Lonchura striata: one gene and its partner. The protein of the gene in region 1 interacts with the protein of each later gene in a biochemical or structural test. Links are inferred from orthologs where the notes say so. Each region holds a gene or a part of one and is shown on either strand. Other genes may lie near its edges. The genes, in order: LIMK2 and ROCK1.

The links.
Region 2: of the proteins of LIMK2 (region 1) and ROCK1, one has a biochemical effect on the other in vitro, tested with the Homo sapiens proteins (2 studies listed by BioGRID). The link is inferred for Lonchura striata from reciprocal best matches to the Homo sapiens genes LIMK2 and ROCK1.

Annotation. Positions count from the first base shown.
Region 1 is NC_134620.1:4,574,895-4,587,086, reverse strand, and holds the start of LIMK2 (LIM domain kinase 2), read left to right. Parts: upstream 1-6,031; 5' UTR 6,032-6,078; coding exon 6,079-6,094; intron 6,095-8,579; coding exon 8,580-8,679; intron 8,680-12,192. Other genes in the region: E3 ubiquitin-protein ligase RNF185, read left to right, coding at 92-146, 2,072-2,189, 3,318-3,415. UniProt on the Homo sapiens protein: Serine/threonine-protein kinase that plays an essential role in the regulation of actin filament dynamics. Acts downstream of several Rho family GTPase signal transduction pathways.
Region 2 is NC_134603.1:47,966,049-47,977,871, forward strand, and holds the start of ROCK1 (rho-associated protein kinase 1), read left to right. Parts: upstream 1-5,533; 5' UTR 5,534-6,466; coding exon 6,467-6,559; intron 6,560-11,823. UniProt on the Homo sapiens protein: Protein kinase which is a key regulator of the actin cytoskeleton and cell polarity.

The DNA of each region.
Region 1 (12,192 bases):
TCTTATGGTGATTCTGTATTATTAGCCAGGCTACTGCAGATACTGTTGTCACATGTCCTTGCACTTGAGTTAATTTCACCACTTCCTGCAGAGAGAAAACTCCACCACGACCCCAAGGACAGAGACCTGAACCAGAGAACAGAGGGGTAAGTGATCCAACAAGCTTGAGTGGTTTAGTTGTTTTTCATTGATAGTGGTATTTATTCATCCTGGAGGACATAATGCGTGTGAGAGAACCTGCATGAGGATCCTGCAGCTTCCCCAGCTGGTTGTTCATGAATCATTGGTAGCTGTGGTGTGGCAGAGAGCTCCATTCCTGTGGTACCCTTTAGCATCCCAAAGAACAACCCATCTTGGATCATGCTTCATGAATGCAGCCCAGTGCAGTATCACTGGAAAAGCTTTTAATGCTTGATTGTTTTCCATGTTTAAATACAAGGAACACTTTGCTTTGAAAATTCGTTGTGCAAGTGTATTTCTGTCAAAACATACGTGTCATTAATTAATCCACGTATTAATTTGGATTTTTTGACACTGACACCTGCTTCTCTCATTTTGACGGGATGTTACTGTACCATGGCATTACAAGCAAGAGGAAGTTGATATCTGTTGGATGCATGTTAATTTGAAGAGGGATCAGTGGTTTTGTTGAGGAGATTACATAGGGTGAATGTAAACAGCAGCTGGCACAGATGGAGCAGACGTGGGAGTAGGCGGTAGGACAGACCACAGCGTTCTTCAGCACGATGGCAGCAAGCATGACCTGATGAAACAATGGCACATTTCCATGTAACTCAGCCCGGGGTCCTTGGAGAGGATTGTCTCCCTCATGCTTCAAGCAAACAACTCTGCAGGGTGTGATTAAGGTGCATTTCTGTATTGAATGTATTGGGAGCTCAGCTGTTCTCTCTCACTAGAGCATTGCTGCCTTATTAAATCAGCTCCTGTACCTTACTTGAACCTTTCAGGTGGTGCTGCTGTAAATCAGAGGGATGGGGTGTGAAGGCAGGACAGTAGTGATGCTATTCTCTTCATATCCTGTATCTGCCACAGAGAGCTTTGCTGTCCCCAGAGTTAGTGGCAAAATGTTTGAAGAGAGTATGGTCAAAAGACCAACTCCTCAAATCAAGGGTCAACCAAGAAACATTTGACTTTTATTGTATAAGTAAAACCATCTTTGTCCTCCCATTGCTGGTGGTGATAAACCAGAGGGTCTTTCAGAACTGGTATCACTGTTTTAATTCTGAGGTGAGAGGGCAGTTTACTGGATTACAGAGCTGTGGGCTCTCCACAGTGTTTAGTCATGACACAAAGCCCCTAGATTCACACACAGTCAGTATCAAACAGCACACTGCTTCTGCAGAGCAGGATTCATCTCAATTCAGAGCACTTATCTTTTGACTTGATGCGGTATTTCAGTCTGGATCGCTTAAGGTCAGTGTTATTGCATTGTAACTTCCTTTATTTCATCCTTTCCTTATATCTTGCATTCCTGCCCCAGGTTATTTTGCCACCTTAATTTGAGTTCCCATGGTAAATTTTTTTGTGGTTTTCCTTCAAATGCTCTATGCATCCCACTGGGAATTTATAATTTCACTGAGTATTTAACTGATGCACATGTATCACAAATATCAGTTTAGGTTATTTTCTTGAGTACCTTTCTTATATGGCTAACAGCTGTTAACACACGATACATTGTTAAGACATTCTAAGTAGAATTCCTCCTGGTGATTTTGATACATTGGCAGATACTACTTTAAGTTGAGAAAGGTTACAGTTGAAAAACACTGTCCTAATTTGTGGCCCTCAAGCAAGAACTGCAGTTGCTAGTTTTCATTTTCTCAAACCTTTGGGTTGCTCGGTGAATTTGCTGCTGTCTGAAACATTTTAACCCAGGAGACCTAGGGGGGGATCTGGACAAAAGTGTGTCAGACTGAAAGTTGCCAGACAGCGTGACCCTCCTTCTGCCATGGCAAAGCCAGCGAGAGGGAATATCTGCTCATCCACAAAATACTCTGAAATAGGCTCTAAGTGAGTCCCTTTTTTGTCTTCTGTTCTTTGTTCTCTGCAGGGATTCCAGGGCTTTGGGTTTGGTGATGGTGGCTTCCAGATGTCGTTTGGAATTGGGGCGTTTCCCTTTGGTATATTCGCAACAGCCTTCAACATAAACGACGGGCGACCTCCTCCAGGTACCACGGATCCTTCTCCTGCCCCATCACAGACAGACATTTTACAAACTCTTAAATAACCTGCTAAATGGCAAAATATTCTGAGCAGTAACCAGTGTTGTCAATAGAACCACTAAATGAGGGCAGAAACACTCTGTACAGAACGTGGTCTGTGGCTGGTATGTTTTGTACACAGACTTATAAAAGAGCAAGTTTGTCACTTCTATATAATTTGCTGAAGGCCCTCCTGGGAGACCAGTGACTGCAGAGAAACAGTGGCACTGGAGACTACTCTCCTCTAATTCAGATGTCTCCTCTGGTACACCAGCAGACTTCTCCTGAAAAATGTGACAAATTGGACTAGACTTTCTAATAATAATAAAAAGGAGTCACTAGGGGTGTATGAAGGAGACCCAGTTTTAAAAACAGCAGGAAAGTACCATTTCCTGAAAGATGAGAAGGAAAAATTTAAACTGGTGCTCTGTACCACCAAATTATAAATGCAAAGATTGTTCATTTTCCAGAAATTTATCTGAGACAGTCATCTGTATTCTACAAGAAGTAACTTTCCAGTGAAATTACTTCACGTTTTTGATTAAGAAAAAACAGTTGGATTATTCCAAGGGGTGACCTTGCTCTCTAACAATGAAGTAATCCCTAGAGAACCTCCTCCCTATCTTCACTGTAGACAGACTGAATCTGTTTTGAACAAGAATGCCTACTGCCCAGGATTTTGTGAACTTATTTTGTGAACTTATTTTGTGAAAGGTTATACCTGGCAAATCTTCCACCATGTCATATGGCACGGGAATTATGAGGAACAAACTCATTCTTCACATCACACCAGCGTTGCCATGGTCCTGTGCTGTCCTTAGGTCAAATTATTTTCCCTGTTAGCTATAGTTCAGTGTCCCCTGAAAATCTGCTGGGGGTGGGACTGAACTAAGGAATCCTGCTTCAAGATACTTGTCTTCCTTCTGATCTGCCCATACAGGCAGCCAGGCTGAGGGTAGAAAGTAGCAACTTTTCTCACCAAGCAAATCCTTTGCATATTTTTCAATGTATGAATATACTATATTCAGAATATACACAATCCGAGAGAAAAGGAAGGAGCTGAACTGTTTGTTTTTTTTACTTCCTGTTTTCCAGCTGTTCCAGGGACTCCTCAATATGTGGATGAGCAGTTCCTTTCCCGCCTCTTCCTGTTTGTGGCACTGGTGATAATGTTCTGGCTGTTGATTGCATAAATCTTTTCCATTATTATATATATTCATGACCAACAAGGCCACTGAAACAGTTACAAACTGCATCCCCATCCCATTTTAAACCTCTTGGTGTCTGGTTCCATAGCTACCTATGGGCTTCAGGAATTGGTGGTACCACAGCACAATGAGGAATCTCACATTTTGCACCAGAGTTGGTAATTAAAACATTGGTTTAAAAATGTATTTCAGCTCAGATATGTTGTACAACAGGTTCCTGCCACAAACCATGGGCCTAGCGTTGAGCTGCACTCCGAAAGGGAGTGCTGCTTTGAAATCCTGTGCCAATCAGTGACACCAGGTCTGTGGGATACACAGTTATCCCAGCGCAGACTGGGCAGGTAAGGAAACTTCTTCAGTGTCACCAGTATCTCCTGCTTTGCAACCACGATGGATCTGCCAGAGCTGCAGATGTTATTTAATGTCTCCATCAACATCTGACCTTCTCCAGGAAATCATCTGCAGCACTGCTGAGACTCTCTGGGGCACAGCACGTGATGCAAACGGAACCAGGCCTGGAGACTGGTTTCTTTTCCGCCTGTTATTTCCTGGTGTGATGGAAAACCCTTCCTGAATGGTTCTGATGGCTGTTAGAAGAAGGGATACATATTTATGCTGCAATTTTTTAAAGCCTAAGCATGCTGGAGCCATCCACTGGAAGATTCTCTGGCTGTGGAGCCAGGTGGGGCTGCTGGACCCAGCCCAGTTCCTCACTGACAAACAGTGTTGTCTTCCCCAGCTCTGTGCAGCACCTGTGGCTGCACCCGTGGATAATCCCCTCACAGCCTCGTCACTGTAGCAACATTTATCTTTCTCAAGGCTTTGAGACTTTCTACAGAAGGTCATGTACTCCAGATAAAATCCTATTACAGATCTGAGATCAGCTTGTTTGGGGAGAGGAACAAAAGGCATCTTTACATGAGTTTTGAGGTAAAACTTGTCATACTGTAAAATTATACAGGAGGAGACATGAGATCCTGCCTTTGCCAGCACATGCTCAGTAGGGAACATTTGGAAGACCTTCTCTCTGCAGATGCACGCAGACCTTCTCCCGTGCCACAGCAGAACTACAGCGCAAGAGTCTCTGCAGCTAAAATCTACCAAAGATTTTAATTTGAAGTGCTGGAGGAGACCACAACCATTAATGTGCTGAGGGGATATTTCAGAAGGTGAGCAATCTGCAGCCGCTTTGGGATCCTGTTGGGTATCCAGCTTTAAAGAGTACTCCTGATGTATTTGTGTAGATTCCTTCAAAACAGGTATGAGAAAGTCCCTAGCAAGATGAACAGTTCATATTTCTCTGACTAGGCAATTCCATTTTTTTTCCTCTTACTGTCTATAGATTTTTTTGATTCCGGCCACTCATAGTCATAATGATTTCCTGCAAGATGAATGTTGTGACTTCCCTGGCAGTAGACAGAAAAACTGAAAAGCAAATCAATTAATAGAAACTTCATTTCAATATCTTGGGATTTTTTTAGCATATGGAAGTGTTTCCTGGGCAGGACACCTTTAATTAATTGTTATAGAAGTTTATTTATGTAATTATAAACTGTTTCCTTTTAGTGTCAAGGCAGAGTATGACTGAAGTTTAACTTGCCTACCTCCAAAATTCCATCTGGCAAGTAGAATGTTGCAAAGCTTCTGCAGTGTTTTGTCACGTCAGATTTATACCTGACTTAATGATAATCTGATAGAATATATTGCTCAACTATTTATAGTTGAGGTGGTGCTTCAGCTTTTGTTGTGTGACACTTCTGAGTAGCTGAACTTTGGCATAGGGTTCTTCTCAAGTGTGTAACTTGGTAACTGGGGCCCTTCCCAGGAGGAAAGGCTGTTTTGTTTGGTTGTCCTACAATGTCGCAGCTTTGGCTTCCTCTCCTGCGCAGTCAGCACCACCTGCTGATGGGAAGGGAAGGTTTGTGTGACAGTAAGAGATGGATTCCTTCTCCTTTTGTACGGAGAAACTCGATGCTGAGAGGTTATGCAGGAAGGAGAAGCCTTTATCCCGTAAAGAGGATAGAGAAGTGACTGCAATAGATTCAAGAGGTACTGAAATATATTTAATTAATACATTTTAAAAACCAGAATTTTAATGGATTGGGGATGGGGAATTTCCATCTAGGAGTGAGAGAGATAATGGATTTAGAGAAGGCTGCAGAAGCATGACCGAGAGCTCTTATTTTCCGGCAATTCAAGGATGAAATAGTCTAAAAGTGTTAACGCTTGGTTCCCCCTTTCCCTGGTGTGCTTTTGTATGTACCCCTTCCCGTAACCTGACCGCACACGGCCCGGACGGCTCGGTTAGTGCGTTACCGTTGCTCCTCACTAATTTTCACTGTTGTGAAAGTGATTTAGAATTAAAAAATGGTTTTACATTGAGCGGAGTGCGCCGCCGTTCCTTTGCGCTGCCTCGGGGGCGGGAGCGGGGCCGCGCCCGCCGGGCACGTGCGGGGCGGGGCTGCGGGCGGGCGGCGCCGCCATTGGCCGCCGGCGCGGAAAGGGCGGGGCGGGCGGGGCGGGGCAGCGCGGGGATTGGCCGGGGCGCGGAGAGGGCGCCGCCGATTGGTCGGGGGCGGGCGCGGCGCCGCGCAGAGGCGGGCCCAGGTGCGGCGGCGGCCGCTGGCGTCGGGCGCGGCGGGCGCGGGATGGAGGCGCTGCCAGGTGAGCTCGGGCCGGGCCGGCCGCGCCTCCGCGGGAGGAGCCGCGCTCCGCCGCCGCGGGGCGGCCGCCGCTGCATCGGCGGGGGCGCGGGGCTCGACGGGGCCGCTGCCTCCGGAGCCGGCCGGACGTCAGCCCTGGCTGGGGAGCGTTCTGGGGCCGGCCCGCGGCTCCCTCCGGCCGGTGGCACCGCCGGTTCCCGGGGGTTCCCGGCGGGTCTCCGGGGCACTGAGATCCGCAGGACGGCCGTGGGAGACGCGGCGCGTCCCCCCCGGGGCGGCCGGAGCCGGCCGGGTCGTGCAGCGCCGGTGCCGCGGGGCCGCCGGTGCCGCGGGGCCGCCGGTGCCGCGGGGCCGCCGGTGCCGCGGGGCCGCCGGTGCCGCGGGGCCGCCGGTGCCGCGGGGCCGCCGGTGCCGCTCAGCCCGTCCCCGTTGTCCCGCTCGGTGTCCGCCGGGGCCACGGCGGCTGCTCCTCGCTGGCCGTCTCTGACACATTCCTCCCGTCTGGGAAACTCGACAGACCTGTTACATGGATTATGTCCGTTTGCGTTTCCTTCGCACTGTTTCCTGCTCTGTTTTCTTCATTTCCGTCGTTTCTCCTGCATACTGAAGCAATTTCTGTTGGATTGAGGACTGTTCGTTTCCCTTTGTGAGCTAATCAGCCTTCCTGGGTACACTTAAAGAGATGTAGCACTGCAGCTGAGAGTAGGTGTAGTTTCTTCGTGGAGTTCCGAAGCCGATGGGTCAGATTCTGTAAGATGGTCGGGGAATAATTTGTTGCTTCTGGTCAGCTATGGTGTAATAGTTGATCTTTAAATATCTTTAGTAGGATCCACAGACAGTTTTTACACGTGTGTGTTGTGCTGGTGACACTGAATGGGAGGGGATGGAGCTGCAGAATGTTTGGTTTGCAGGTAGTTTTGGCCTGCAGCTATTTCAGAAATTCAGCTGACTTCCAGGGCTTGCCCTGCTTGGAGAGGAGAGCGTTGGCTGCCTGTGCATGGAGGCACAGGCACACGGAGCTTTGCCTTTTATTCCCAAGCCCGTTTGGTGCACTGAAAAGCCATTTCCTTTATGGGACAACATGGATAGGATCAGGTTTTTCCAAGGTTCTCCCAGCCTTTACTCTACTGTGCAGGTGTGAGCTCAGGTGCAGTTCTTGGTGTTCTGGATTAGCAGAAGGGCACAGGGGCAGGTGATCCAGGTGTGGTGCTGATGCACACTTAGGGACTGAAGTAGCAGTCACATTTGAAGGAACCCTTTGAGCCTTACATCTTTATGGAGACCTTCCTGGGTACTGCTGCTCTGCTGGTGATAGTGGTGCTTGTAGCTGAGCAGCAAATGTTTTTTTTCCCTGAAATAGCTATTTATGTAAAAAGTGCAAGATCTTCACCCTAGTTAATTTTAAACATTGTCATTGACCTAGACGGTGGGGTAAAGGTGCATGGAAAGTTGATGGCTTCTGTTTTGTGTAGCTTCAGGGAATTTAACAGTGGTATGAACTTGCCTAAGCAACTACCAAGTTGTACCATTCTTTGGAAAAGGGAAGTCCGTGGTTTGTGGTTTGCTTTTCTAAGTGCACCTTTTTCTTTAATGCTGCCTTGCTACAAGGAAACTGTTAGTAGCAGGAAGAAACAGGTTTGGGATCTTTTCAGCTCTCTGACACATTTCTTGTGCCATCCTGTGCTGAACTAAGATTCTTGACTCTTTAATATGCCTGCACTGCCCTTGGGATTTTGGATACCATTTATCTGTGTGCCAAATGTTCTTTGTGCACAAGCTTTCATTCTGTTTTTCTAGCTTGCTTGCATCTAAGTAACCAGCTCTCTCTGGGGCTTTCTGGCAGTTCTAGCAAAAACTATTATAGCTCTATTATAACTTTTATAAGTATTTTCTGAAAGGGCAATAGGCCAGTAGCATAACTCCCCCTTTCTAAGTCTGATGGGTAGTCTGATGTTGGCTGTACAGTCTCTATGGGATTATTCATTCAAGAGTGTAATTCCTTCCTGGTAGTCTACTTGTTCTCTACTGAAAGAAGTTTGTCTTTCCTTTCTTTCAGTTCTGGGAAATCCAGTTAATTCTACAAATGCGAGCAAATGTTTTGTGCTGAGTCAGTGGTGTGGGGGAAGCAGTAGCGTGTCTTCCTGGCCTAGCATGGTTCTCTGTTGGAATTGTTGTACTAGACCAGTGTTGCCTTCCTGAAATCTCTGCTCTGACAGAGCTGTAACTGAGCTGTTTTATGTGAAAAGTCATAGTCTTCTTTTCTGCAGAATGTGAAGAAAGAGATGTCATGTCTGGGGAAAAAAATATACAAGATATCAGAGTTTGATTTGGGAGTTCCCACTCTGGGGTTATAGACTTCCTGCAGCTTTCCATGTGGGAAGGCTTTCCTGTCAGTTACTTAAGATTGTTCTTTATGAAAGATGTACCAATCTTTGTTTTCTCTGGTGTAAACTGGTTGCTGTTTGTCCCCTTATTGCTGCGTGCAGGTGAAGAAGTCTGGAGATGCCTGGGATGTGGGGACAGCATTGCTGCTGGGCAGCGCCTCCACAAGACTGTCAATGAAGCTTGGCACATCTCCTGTTTCCGGTAGGTGAAGCTTCAGCCTTTAAACCCTCCTTGTGTTGTTCCACTGCCTGGGAGCTGGTGGTGAAGTACCAGCATGAGCTGGGAATTCCTACAGTGATCTCTGTGCCTGACCTGTTCCGAGCTCGTTTGTGCTGTACCCCAGGGACAGCATCCAGTCCTGAGAGCAGCTGACACTGCCTGGCAGCACGGCTGCGCTGACGCAAACGGGATACAGATAAAGTGCAAATAAAAGCTCTGATTTACTGGTGGTGGCAGAAGCCATGGCTTACATGTTTGTCTTCTGCAGCATTCCAAAGTAGTGCCCAGGCAATTTGCACAGCCTGTTACTTTTTCATTGTGTGGTAGGTGCAAGGGTGTTATCAGGGTGCTGATAGAGAGGAGGGAAGAGACAGAGATCTTGCCTTTTGCTTTCTCTCCTTTGCAGACTCTTAAGACAAATTTATGAAATCTGTTAGATAATGTTGCTGTCTGCAAGGACAAAAAGGAATATCTGCTGTGCTTTTTCGTGGTGGTAGGAGTAATACCATTTTGGTTTTCCATGAATATTCAGTCCAGTTTTCATGCTCCAGAATCACATTTCTGAAGGGGTCTGTATTTTTGAAAGAGGTTGAGTACCTCCAGCTTCTACTGGCTTCTCTGTTGGTTTGAATATGGGGAGGCTAATGTTTCGTTATTGTTAAAGAAAGTGGGGAGAAAAGGAAGCCAAAGTGTGGCTTTGGAGGAATGTTTTTTGTGCCAAAATAAGCATCTATTGTCCTCGTTTAAAGAACAGAAAAAAAAAGAAGCCAACAAAATACCCCAACTTTGTTGAAGGTTGATTGTGGTTATTGGTATATTTAAAAAAAATAAAGCATCTCATGCTGCCAAAGCAATGCAGGCTCAGTTCACTCAGAAAATGCTGTTTTAGTGACACATTAATAATCACAATAACATTTGATTTCATTACAAGTCCCAGTATTTCGGATTTCTGTTGGTTTTAGTGTTCATGTTTAGCCATAATGAAGCAGCTTGTCTTAATCCTGGTTTTCTCTTTTCCCTGAAGGATGAGTATCCTGCTGAGCTTCCCTAGATTCTGCCAGTAGCCAAACCCCAAGCTGTGTGTGCTGGGAAATCTGTCCCTCTTGCCATTGAATGTATTTCTCTTGTGGGTCTTGATTTGTAAATGTTGTGGTACTTCTTGCTGTTGGAGCTGTTGAGGTAAGGAACAGCTGAGCTGGAGGCAAATCCTGCCTTTGGGACACTTCACAGAGGATTTGTTTTCATAGGTTATAGTGTATAATGGAGGTTTGTTTGTTGCTTCTGGGCTGGTTTGTTTGATGCAAGCGATGACACCAACCTTTCTCTGAGCAGTGTAGTCACTTTTTGTATTTGCTGATGCACTTCTTTTGCTCTGTGCTTTTGGTGAGCTCCAGCACCCAGCGAGGCTGCTGTGCTCAGTGAACAGTTGGAACCTGCAGGAAAGGAAGCTGCCCTCCCCTTTTTCCTAGTTCCAGGGTAGGACTGTACATGAAAACAAGTTTCCAGTTTACACTGTGCTCCTCCTTTTCTTCTGCTGTCCCTAAGCCATGCTGAGCAGCAGTCTTATGCCTGATATCCCAAAGCCAAACTTTAAAAAGCCTCTACGGGTAGGAGGCTTTGGCAGTTGGTAGCTGTGAGTTCCGGCAGCTCTTGTGGAGTGTTTTTTGCAGTCTTCCTGTGGATTAGCTGACTCCCTGGCCTGGCACATAATTTCTCTAATGCTGATTGGCACTGCTCCAGGCTCGTTAGCTCTGTTTATTCTTGGTCAGGCTTGGCGCTGACGTACATGAGCGTCTCCGAGGATTTAAGTTTTTGTCACTTCCCTCCTTCCTCAAACTGCATGTACAGGAGCTTTTGTCTCTGAATCCTGCATTTTCCCTGCTGTGGCTTGAGAGAAGAGCAAATCCCTGTTTGTAGATCTTGGATATTTTAGACTGTTCTTTGGCCAGCCTGTTCCTTAGGCTTGAATCTGATGGGTTGGATCTGGCTGAGGAAGTTTCTTAAATGTTTCTGTCACAGTGTCTGTTGTGAATTAACTCTGAATGTGCTTTTGTGCCTCTGAGTTCAGTTGAGACAGCACACTCTATCAAAGGTCACTGCTTTTCACAGTTTGACTGGATTTGGAAATTTCATTGCACAGAACTTCAAACATTACACCAAGAAAGGGAAAGATAGAAGTGAAAAGGTATTTTTTTCCTAGGTCTGGATCATTTTTACCTCAGGGGATTATTGGAAGAGCTTTTTTGACCAAGAGCTTGCTGGTTTTATTGTTTTTGATCCAACTCTTTTCCATATTGCAAAATAGAAGGTAATGCCTTGAATTATACTTTTGAATAAAGTATTATTACCAGTGTTTATTTTTGGTGGTTTGTGTTGCTTTTCTGTAGTTAATGACAAATGAAATTAGAGACAATCCTCACTTTCTGTAGGGATACTGTGTATTTGAATTGGAGTAGGATGGAATGAGAAGACCCAGACATAGCTGTGTGGCTTTATCTTAAGGACATGGTATTTGTTAAAAATCCAGTTTTGATTATTTGAAAACCACAAATTCAGATCAAGCCTGTAGACTACATCCAGGTGGAAAATGGACGCATAGGAAGAAAATAATTGGAAATGCTGGCAGGAATTCCTACTGTAGCAGGGTGCTTAAGCACTTTTTAGGAAGGAAGACAGCTGAGGCTCAGTTCCTTCCTAACCATGAAATAACAGAGCATGTCTAGTACTGTGGTCTATAAAATAAACCTAATTTAAGTAGCCAAGCAACACTGGCTTGCTGCAGAGATCTCAGCTAAAAGCCAAAGCCAGAAAAAATGTTCACAGTATATCTTCAAAAGTAGCAAAAGGTGATGGATTACTGTGGTGATTTTACAGTCACAGATTTAAAATATACATGTTTTTTTATACCCAAACAAGTTAAGTAAAAGCTGAAAAATCATCAGGAGTTTGAAGAGGAGTGGATTTGCTATCCATGGATCAAGGGGTGCCCTAAGCTCCACCCTACTGAACAGAAAGAGAAACACTACTAATTTCCCAGCTCTAGTGGTTTGATTGTCTTTCAAAATGTGATTTTTCTATACTGAATGCCGTATTTTGTGGGCTACTGAAATGGTTTTTTCTGAGCAAAACTTAGTAAATCACTTTGATTCCTTTTACATTTAGGGGCAGGGGAAAGCAATCCAGACAAACTTGTATGAAGACTATGTATAATTAAACCTGGTCTGGGAGTGCAGGATAAACTGGATTATTTCTAAGGGTATTTTTATAAATCTGTTTTCTGTTTTTAGTATATCTACTATCAACTTACCTTTGAAGCAAGTAATTTTTGTGGCTTAGGGATGATCAAGGAATTGGTCATCTAACAATCTCCAGTGACTGTAGGACTTTGGTCTCCCAGACTGTCTACTAGCACTTCATTATCCTCGGGGTTAGAACCTTCTCTCTACTGTCTTCAGAAATCCCGTGTTGCAATTTAAATCCATTTCTTCTAGCCAT
Region 2 (11,823 bases), on another chromosome or scaffold:
TGCCATCCAGTTTACTTCCTCCCTTGCAGAAGTTTATTTTCAGACCGGATCCTCTCCATCAAACTGATCCATTAATTTCCAAAAGGTGATTTTCCCCCACTACTTCTAGTTTGTTCAAGAACATACAACAAAGATTCAGATTCGGGTGCCCCATTTTTTACTCATCACTCACCACTCACAGGCAGTGGGAGCAAGTTCTCCTCAGGGTTCCAGCACAAGTACTACTGTGCTTGAAAATGCACTGTAATAGTGAACAGCAGCAGCTACCCTCTGCTGGGAAGGTGGGATATATTGGAACAGGAAAGGCCACATGCCTGGAGCCTCGCACCTTTATTAAATCTGGTGAAACATGCAGGAAACATGCGGGAAAAACATATTTATATGTTGCACTGTTTCAATGACAAACATATGTTTGCTAAACATCTGAAAGATACTGCTTTGGTTGAGTCTACTCATAGGAAATTCTCTTTTCATCTATTATTTGCAAAAGTGTTTTCTTGTGCTAGAAGTTCTTATTGCCTAGGCCGCTTCTATTCTATTTCTGTTCTAGGTCTTATGTTTTGCCTCATCAAGAGCCAAGATGATTTATCAGCATACTAAATTATGACTAATATCTCTCTAATTTTTTTACTTTCTCTCTCTTATTCATAGGGCATTTTAATGTGTTCACTGCTCAGAGCACTTTGCAAGCTTTCAGCTGCAATTCCCTGAGGAGTCTTTACAATGCATAGGTGAACTCCCAAGGGAGGTGAGGGGGCTGCAGTGTGTCACTGCCTTGACTTCAGCTTTAAATCAGCTACTTACAGCCACCAGCATTCATTACCTAACACAGCCTTTATTTTTCAGGTTTTGCAAGCACACTGAGACCAATGCTAGACTTTATCATTACCCAGAGTCAGTTCAGATATGTCTGCTTGAGCATCCATCACACCTTGCCTGAAGCAGGAAGCTCCTGCAAATAGCCTGTTGCACAGATGGGCTTTAGCAATGATAAAATATTTTGCCCAAGGACTGGATTTGTTGACCAGTTTTCATCCCAGGGCTTCAAGCCACACTGGCCTGTGCTATTAACTGTTCCTAGGACTAGAGCAGAGGCTAAACTAAGCCAGTTTTGCAGGGCAAAGAAGGAGAGAGGCCAGTGGACCAAAGGCAGGCTTAATATAATGTTATTTAACTGCTGAAGGTTTCATGCTGACTAAATTGGAAGCTGAATGTGAGGGAACCTCTTGCATTACTAACTTGACCTAATATGGTGAACAGGATATAGTCTCATTTCTGTCTTGTGCAACTCTTCTGAAGTCAGTAACTACTTCAGGAACATGGGTGTCCCAGCCTGTTCTCTCATTCTGAGAGTGTATGCTTTTTAAAATGCACACTCAGTGACCTGAAAAATCTAAATGGCATTTGACTTTATTACAAGCTCTTTTGCTTAATTCTTTTTAGCTTTTTCACAAGAGGATGGGAGTAATAGTACCTGCTCAGAGAGGGCTGAGCCAACGCTTTGAGTATTCCACTGCTCTTGTGTTCTTCCTGTTTGCTAAATGTTCCTGAAATGAGCACTACTGAAACCTCTTACATGCACAGTTTTATTACTCTCATGTATAATAATGTTATTTGCAAAATAAACAGTATTACTTGTACTTTTCATAAATATTTTATCATGGTTTAGAGGAAGCCAGTGTAGTCATTCTACAGTTTACTGATATTCTGTATTTAATGAGAAATTTCAATCTCTGCCAAAAAATCAGTTTTTAATTCAGCATCAATTTGTATCACAGAAAAAGCAGGAACATTTAAATATCTTATGAAACAGGCAGGAGAATATGGATATGGGGGCCATGGTTTTGTTTTTATTAGGATTATCAGTTTGTTAGTTTACTTTGTATAGCCATCAACTTACTTAGAGACACTTTCAAGAATTAAAGACTTTTAAAGTCTCTACTTTTGAAGAGAGAAAAGCCTCTGCTTTTTGAAGAGAGAAAAAATGATCTTTCACGTTTGCATACTTTATCAGCTCAGTGTTATCAGGTCATGTATATGTTGAGTAATTCCTATCTCATGCAACAAAAGCTAGTTTGATTCCAAAATATGTGACACAACAAAGCAACAAGAAGAAATTAACCATTTTTTGTTTATTTATCAGGAAGGTAAACCAAAAAAATTTAATGTTCAAAAGTTCAGTGCACTAGTTGGTTGTGTAGGATGGGGATTTGTATGATTTCTAAGGGGCCAATGCTAGAAATATGCAAGTTCCTAACCATATAGATACAAATAGTCTGACTGAAGTATGTGAAAACTGTCTTTAAGATCCCAGCATGTGAATGAGTGTTCTCTGGATTAAAAACTATTACATTACACTCTCACATTACAACATGAGTACTTTATTACACTGGACACTTAACCCATACCTGCTTTTAAAAATTAGAATCAATTATCCTTTTTGATGCTGGTAGCCAAAGCCTCCCTTTTACAGTTTTGAAGTAGTGCTCAGAGTTTCCTAGACAGCTGCATGAGTACCTCCCACACAAATTCTATTCTATTTGAGACAGACAAACAAGCATTTTTAGTCCACAACAGTTGTGAGAAAAGCCCAGTCTGACAGACATGTTTGAAACACACAGATCTTGCACACAGATGAACACAAACACAGTAGCTTTGCTTACCACAAAGTCTGGTAGAAGTTCTCAGGTGTTCTGCTTCAGAGGCAAGATCCTTCACTGGCAAAAAACCATGTGAGGCTGGGCCTGTCCAATGCCCTCCTCTTGTCTCTGTGAATTCACCAAGATGCCAAACAATGGGATGGTGCTTCTCTCCACTTTCTGTGTTGAATCTGGGCCACTGTCAAAAAAATTTAAAAAAATGCAAAGAAGCAAAGAGCAAGAGGGAGCAAGACCTATGTAGCTTTGTTTCAGGGAGGTCTGGAGACATGCAAGGTGTTTTGCATTTCCAGGAGTATCTGTAAGTTTTCCCATAGACATTGGATAAAACACATAAGTGACACCTGCTGATCACAATGCTGATCCTCCCCACTAAACTGCAGATTCAGGCTTCCTCTTCCATACGCTATTACAGGCTCATGAATTTTGCATTGTTTTCAGTCAGGCGCCTCAAATCACCCTGCTGAAGCCTGGCATCATCCCTAATGCTTAAATCAGGTGCCCAAGAGCACTGTGAATTAGGCTTTGTATCTCTAGTGATGATTTTCATCTTGCTTTAGATGAAGACTGCAAGAAGCATTTTCTGTGTATTTTAGAAATTACTTACTGTATCACTTATGAAATGATCCCAAGCCTACACCCTGCAGCTTGCAGAATTGTTCTCTTTGGACTGTGGTTGCTCAAATGGAACATCTGCATTTCCAAGAGCAACCAAACCCTCTGAATCAAAGGGCTGTGGCAGTAGCCAGCATAAAACGAGAGAGCAGGAAATGTTGTTGTAGCCTGTATTTTTGCTTTAACTGTAGATACTTCTCAGCAGAAAACAAAACCAAAGATGCAGGCAGCTGTGGATAAGAAAAAGCAAAATGTAGAATACTATTTCTTATTTTTATCTGCATCAAGCAAGATAGCAAGTACTGACATCCAGGACTGAATAGCTCGAATGCTCTAACACTTGGCTATGAATTGGTTTCCTAACCATGACATGGAAAATAACTTACAGTGCTAATGATTCAGGTTTGCTACTGGCAACTGTTCAGTGACCAGAGATTAATAACTGACAATCTCTGTGCAATTTATAGTGATCTTAGTAAAAATGTCATTGCCATTTATGGAACTGCAGTGGAAGTCGAAGAACCGAACCAGTACAGTGGCCTCTGTCCAGTAATATTTGAAATCATTACCTCGCTCAAGTCTCAAGCTGACCCACAGGAAGATCCGGTTGGATGTTATGAGGAATTTCTTCACAGAAAGGGTTGTTAAACATTGGAATTGACTACCCAGGGAGATGGTGGCATCAGTATTCCTGAAGGTGTTCTAGAAAAGACTGGATGTAGCACTTAGTGGCATGTTCTAATTGACATGATGGTGTTCAGAGGTTGGCCTGGATGATCTGAGAGGTCCCTTCCAACCTAAGGGATTCTACAGTTGTTTCCTTATTTGAAGAAAAGGACCCTGCTGTGGTCTCAAGGTAAGGTTTGAATTGGAAACACCAACACAGGCTGCACAGATTTACTGCTGGTATCTATTCTTCCTGTGTTTGGTATGCTACCTTGCGCATGGCTCTTGACTGGACATAAACGGGAATGCTTTTAACTTCCAGCACTGTGTAAGCTGGCCTCTCCTTCCTGGGACACACAGGATGGCAGAGTGGCTGCCACTGAAATGGATCTCTGGAGGCCAGCTTCTCGTAGTCCTCCTGATCAGGTAGGACAGAACTGCAGAATCACAGAATAGGTCAAGGTGGAAAGGTACTACACTGTGCAATGTGGTCCAATCTCCTTACTCAAGCAGGATCATCCCAGAGCACATAGCACAGGATTGCACCCATACAGTTCTGGAATATCTGCAGTGAGGGAGCACCTAAGGACCACCGACAGCCGGCTGCCCAGGGCCTGGCTTTTGAAGATCCGCAAGGATGGAGCCCACAGCAGCTCTAGGAGTGACCCTCCCTACCACCTGTCCCCCGTGCCCGTGCCGTGCAAGGCGGCGGGAGCCACCAGCGCTGAGGCGCCTCCGGGGAGCCGGGGCGGAAACACGGCGGCAACACCCCCCACGGCTCGGGGAACGGCGGGAAGCGGAGCTCTTCCCGCGGGACGCTGGCCCGGGGCTCCGCGCGATTCCCGGCGGAACTGCCGGGCGGGGGCGGGCGCACAAGGACAGCGGCTCCCGGAAGGGGGATCCCGGGCGTCCCACCGCCGCGCCCGCACCGGCGCCGGGCTCCGGCCGAACGCGCTGCCTCCGCCCGCTCCCGCCTCTCCGGCTTTTTCCTTCACCAGGGCAACGAGGCTGGTGCAGGGTCTGGAGCGCATATCCCACGAGGAACGGCTGAGGGGCTGGGGGTCTTTAGCCTGGAGAAAAGGAGGCTCAAGGGTGACCTTATGGCTCTCTACAACCACTTGAACGGAGGGTGTGAGCAGCTGGGGTCGGCATCTTCTCCCAGACAACAAGTAACAGGACCAGTGGACATAGCGTTAAGCTGCGCCAGGGGAGGTTTAGATTGGACATTAGGAAAGTTTCTTCACAGAAAGGGCGATTAGACGCTGGAATAGACTGTGCAGGGAGGTGGTGGAGTCACGGCCCCTGGAGGTATTTAAGGAAAGACTGGATGTGGCACTCAGTGCCCTGGTCTAGTTGACACGGTGGTGTTCGCTCACAGGTTGGCTCGGATGGTCTCCGAGGGCTTTTCCAACCCAACGGATTCGGTGACTGTGATTCCTTCCCAGGCGCGCGCCCCCTGCCGTCCCGTCCCGTCCCGTCCCGTCCCGTCCCCGTCCGCACCGGAGCCGTTCCCCCCGCGCATGCGCCCCGCGCCCCGTCCCGACTGTTCAAACAGGAAGGCGGACATGTTGGTGGATCTCGCAGGTTCCCTTGAAGCCGCTGGACCTCACGCTCTCCCCTCCCCTTAAGCCACCTCCTTCCTTCCTTCCCTCTCACGCCGCAACCTCGGGTCGGTTCTGAGGCGGTCCGGGCTGCCATCACGTCCGTGAGGCGGAGGAGCAGAGAGGGAGGGGCTGAACCGGCGTTGGCAGCGGCGGGAGGCAGCGAGGAGAGAGGAAGAAAGATGCTGCTGCGGCCGTTCCGCCGGTGAGGTTACTCGTCCGCCGCCCGCGGGGGCACTCGCCCGGTGCCTTCCTCTCTTCCTCGCCCGGTGCCCACGGACGGAGCGAACCCACGGCGCTGAGAGGGGTCTTCTAAGTTTTATTTTACCATCCATTTTTGCCTTGTTGGTGTGGCTGCAGGCTTTTGTCTTTTTTTCTTTCTTTTTTTCTTTTTTTTTTTTTTTTGTTTCCCCTCTTCTGTTGTTTCTTCTGGTTCACCGGAAAGAAAGCCGCGCTCCGGAACCTGGCACCGACCCGCCGGCGCTGCAGCGGCGGGGCGAGGAGGAGGGACCGCTACGCTGGAGCCCAGGACGGCTTCCCCGGCTGGGAAAATGGGAATGCTGAGGCGGTGGGGCCCGAGCAGAGGAGGGAGGGAGAGGAAACCTGCTGCTGCGGAGCTGTGAGCATCCCGGGAAGCTGCGTGCGTGCCTGGAGGAGCGGGGGGAGAAGCAGCCTCGTCCCCCGCCTGCTGCGGGCTCCCCTTGGATTCTCTGCCCCCTTTGCAGGGACTTGCCCCAGAGACTTTTGTGATTGAAGGGATCTCGCAGGAGGCGCTTCCTCAGCCTGGTACAGGCTGCAGTTTCTCTTTTGCGCTCCCCTGTTCCTGTTTTTTTTGGTGTTTTTTTTTTTTTTTTAACTTTATAATTATAATTTTTTTTTAACCTTAACTTTGCTCTGGAATAAGGGAAACTTTTTAACTCCGGAAACATGTCGACAGGAGAAAGTTTTGAGTCTCGGTTTGAGAAAATCGACGTGACTTTGAAGGACCCCAAATCCGAAGTGAACGTGGACTGTTTGCTGGTGAGTGCGGAGCGCCGATGGGCCCCCGGTCACGTCTCCCCGAATTCCTTACCCTGTGGGACCGAATCTCGCACTCCTGGCCGAGTCTCCGCCCTGCTCTGCTCCGTGCTGGTGTTTTGTTTACCCAGCGTTGGGCTGAGGGTGGGTGAGTGTGCCCGTGTGCCGGGAGAGCGGCTCCTGCCAAGGAGGCGCCTGCCCAGCCCTGCCTCACGCTTGTCATCTCTCGCTCCGAGCGCTGCTCTGTGCCTCGCCGGCTGTCACAGGGGCGCTGGAGCCTTTCCACAAAGGCGCAATTCGTGAGTGCCGTTCCTCTGTGTGAGCACAGGACGTCAAATAGCTTTGATACCAGTTCGCTCTCCAACAACTTTTTTAATGACCGAGGTCCTCTTATGCTGTGGTTAAGCACTGCAGCGCTGACGGTCGCATACAACACAGTTAATAAGCCCTTACAGGTGGGGGCAGGTGTTTAAATGCATTTTAAAGTGGTGGTTGTGGTAGGCCTGCTCGTTTGTTGTTTCCCTAGTTGATTGTACCTAATAGCTGCATCTCACCAGTGCTGTCAGTGTTATAACTGCATCATAGGAAAGCAAGCCATAACACTTCCTGATGTAAAACCAACCAACGTCATTTGGTAGCCGATTGACAGAATTGGATGATCTTTTAGTACTCATTTAGTTCACTGAGTACCACAGTAAACTGCATGCCAAATATAGCCAATTTGTTGGGGATGCATCTGGGTCCTTAGATATGCCTAGGAATACCCTTAAATAGTACCAAAGTGTAATTTGTGCTTTCGCACTGAAGTAGAGGGCTTATTTTCTTTGGAGCAAGTGATGGAAGTTCTTTAGTGTATTTTTTCCCTGGCTTTCTGTTGTTAGAGAGAGGAACAAATAAATTGAATTTGTTCCTCGTATGAACTCTGACATTTGGGGTTGGAAGGGAAGGGAGGTGTGGGGGTGGAGATAGCTCTTAATAGTCATTCTTCATTTTTTGCTGCATGGTTCTTGGCAGAAAGCTTACTTGAGCATCAGGCGGTGAATAGATTAAAAGAATAATGCAAGAATCTGTACAAGTTGACAATATTATTTTTTACTCTCTTTAACTTATTACAGGTTTGTGAGCTTCTGAAGTGTTGGCAGGTCAAACCTGCATCCCTAGATAAAAGCAGAACATTGTGGATGCTGTTGTCACAAAGGAAAACAGCACTGCATCGTCTAGTTAATTTGCTTCTCTTGATCTGCTTTGCTTATCTGTCATCTTAGAACCACAGCTAATGAAAAGACCTCTGGTTCTTAGAATATAGTGTGTCAATTTTGATACCTCGAGACTTATCAGACGTTTTTACAGCCAGGTTCTATTGATAGGTGGCAAGAATATAAAGTTAGCTAAGAGTCCAGAGTTTACATTAACCATGGCTCAGTTTGCTAGTATGTGCTGAGCTGCTGGCTGTTGTATGGGGACCTTCCTACAGTGGTAGGAAGGAATTGCCAGGTATCAGACATGCAGTTGGTAGTATCTTTAACTGTATTCCTTAATCTTATAATCAGTTTAAGGATTTGCCCCATTTCAGTTATCTTAATTGTGATTAGGAACTTAAGCTGTAGTCAGTTTGGGAATGAACTTGCTGGGATTCTTCCTGTCATGCTTGCTGAAAGTTGTTGAACATGTGTTTACATTACAGATTTTAAGGTCCTTTGAAGTGACAGTTTCTTAGGAAATTTCTTTTAAATTATTACCAATTAAAGAAAATGCTGCTTCTGAGGAAGTAGCTTGATAAGCTAGCTTTGTATGTGTTTGGTCAATAAGTCTTAACTGCTGGCTGGACATATACTTTGCTTCACTTGTTCTTGGGGTCTTTTCTATAGAAGAATATAAGTATCCTAACATTTTCTAAACGTCTTAAATATTTTACACCAGTTCTTAATGTGATGATTCACACTACAAGTATCATTCTTGGCCCAAAGTACTATTTATATATCAAATCCATTCAAATCTGTATGGATATGCTTTTAAGGAAGAAATACTTCGGTGTAGGTGTAATTGATTTGCATTTGAATACCTTCTGAAATGAACTTCCCATTCTCCTCCCTGCAAGTCTCAGTTAAAGAGGGAAATTTGACAGACTTTAGACGTGGTACACTTAATAAGAAAGTTAAATAATATTTTTATGACTACATACAAAAATTCTTTCTAGTAAAACTTTAAAAATCTAAAATATTTTAACCTTTGATTAAGGTTGTGCATTGATGTTCCTTACAACTGCTTTGACTTTTTCTAAGCAAAGGTGGCAGCTAACTGTGTGTATCTGAGTGGAAATACAGGAATAGCAGACACACAGACACTTCAACATCTGATATTCTATATGTATATGTTTAAAATGCTGGGGTTCATTTAGGTTCAGGGAACATTTTTTTTGACTGTATGATGAAAAGTCTCAGCAATGTTCTTGGCTTCTCTTAGGATGTTTTTTTCCTCTAACTTGGCTTCATTTTTCTTCTGCTCTTATATTTCTTCCCCATCAGTTTGTAGCCTTCATAGACTAAGAGACAAGACATGGAATAACCTTTAAATCAGCTTTGTAGCCATTTTGGGCTTTGTAACTGTCATAAGCTATGTTCTGTATGCTAGAAAGATTCTAAATTTATATGTGAAATAGTATGAGAACTCTAAGAAAAGAAGATGGGGGTGGGGCCTGATGCAAAGGAAGATGTTACCGTTTGAGGAAGGTGTGGGAGAAGAGTGCTGACAACAGAGCCAAGCAGGCGGAAAAAGCACACTGAGGGCCTTGTAACTTCGATTTACATGCTGCAGGAAGGAAATTCATAAAGCTCAAGTGCAGGAAAGAGATGTATTTACTTTTCCTGTTTTTTCTTACGTAACCGTAATAAAAAACAGAGTAAGAAAATGAATTTAGTTGCAACTGTCTGTAACAAGATTTGTTTCTTTGGGGCTTCCATGTGCTTGATGTAGTACTAGGCATAGGAATCATAGATAAGCTGTCTTTTTTTTGATGAGGCATGAGGAGGCTCTAAGCCTGACTTAGGCATAGACAATGTGTCACAACATCATGTAGTGCATTTTCTCAAAATATTTGGTACTAGGAGTCCTACAGTCCCCAATAGATGTAATAGGACTGAAAGCTGTTTTAGAGAGGTGGTCACACTGTGGGGTGTGCAGTGGTCAGATCCTGGTAATTTCCATAGGGGCGTTGAGTAGGCCCAAAGGCCTTGAGCTAAGTGAGCTTAAATACTGAAAAGTAGTGTTCAGTTAGCATGGTTCTACAACAGTTTTTGGAATGAACCCATATTTTAGTAAATTCTAGGCTTTATGGGCTTCCAGTTTTTGTAGAGTGGGGAGTTAAGGAGTATAGCAAGTGTGTTAGATGTGGGATATTTTGACCTGGAATTGCATATGGTTTTGATTCTAAAATAACTAGTAACTTTTTATGAAAATGTATTTTGGTGCTCTCTCTGTTTAGGTAGGAACTCATGAAGAGTGTTTTCATGGTTTACACAGGCACCTGAGTTATTATATTTATTTTCTTTTTATATATAACAATATAATATTAAAATTATTCATGTACTTAGTCAATTACTTCGGTAGTTGATTTTAGAAACTTCACACTTTTGTTGGTCTTAATCATCAAAGATGTCAAATATTTCATTTATTGAGCAGTTTGTCTTCAAAATAACTGACAGCAGTAAACACTGCAAATCAAAGCATATCACAAACTAGTTTTATTTACTCTGAAGAGATTTCCATTTTTGTTGCACCAGAAATGCATAGCTACAGAGCTTGATTCACCTGTTTTTCCTAGGTTGGTTTCATCAGCTAGATTAATTAATGTTCATCTGTCTTGCATAGGAAAAGGCAAGATGATCTCCTCATCTTTGATATTTAGAGTTCTATATATATCTCTGTTACTAGACATATTTCCCTTCTGTTAAATGTGTTAGAAAGCACTCCTGAAGACTTTGTGATTAGAGATTTTGATAATAAATTTTTAAAAAACAATAAATAAAAAGTAAATAACTAAAAGTACCTTTACTTTAGAAGTACCTATCCAAATAGCTGTTGAAATCATGTTGACTGAAATCACACTAACTCTGCTCTTAAAGTCTGAGTGATTAAATGCTAGAAAAATCTGATATTTGAGAAGCTTCCTTGATTGCTAATGAAGCTTCTTGTTTGTGTATATATATATTCAAGAATCAGAACATCACAAACACTTGCAGATTGTCAGCTTCAGGACAAGTTGTCTGAAGATGGTCCAAAGTAAGTGAAAGTGTTGTGATTGACAAAATCTCCTTGGACGTGTTTCTACCATTCTTTAGGTCCAAGTGAAAGGTCTGCAGTTGTATTGGGGCAATCAGCAGCATCACTACAGACTGCGTCTTGAATGGCTTGGGAGCAGCCCTGTGGAGAAGGATTTGGGGGTAGTGTAGATGTAGATTGGACATGAGGAAGAAGTTTTTTACTGGGAGGGTGGTGAGGCACTGGAACAGCTTGCCTAGAAAAGTTGTGGATACACCATCCATGGAAACGTTCAAGGCCGGATTGGATGGGACTTTGAGCAACCTGGTATAGGGGAAGGTGTCCTTGCCCATGGCAGGGGTTTGGTACTAGATGACCCTTAAAGGTCCCTTCTAGCCCAAACCATTCCATGATTTGGTAGTTAGATTCAAAATTAGACGTCTGGCTGACCTAGAAATACAATTCCATGTCTTGAAATTACCATATCTGAACTTCATATGTAAAAATAATGTTAATTATTACAATTAATTATTAATGTAAATGTTAATTAACATTAATAATAATGTTATGTAATGTTAATGTTACCTACTCATCACTACAGATTATGAAATACAAAGATTCATGTTAAGTCAATGATAAAATATATCTTGTTATGTTAGTCAAAGGTAAAATGCAACTCTAAGTTGGCTTTGAAAATAAGTAACTTGATGTAACTTCTTATTTCAAGTTGCATCTCTTAAGAATTTTTAGTATTACGTTAGCCATTAGAAATTTAACAGTAGAGATGTGGAACTGTCAAAATGTTAGCATTTGTTTCATGGTGTATGGTAGGTTTTACAGAAGAATTAATAGTTAACTTAGCCAATTCTTCTGCTAATAAAACTAGAGACTGTGCAGGAATGTAATTATTTATTTTTCCTATAAAAAGTTTTAATGAGGAATGATAATAGAAAGTTGATGTTAAGACACGTTTCAACAAGAGGAATAAAACACCCAACAAAGCTATAAAT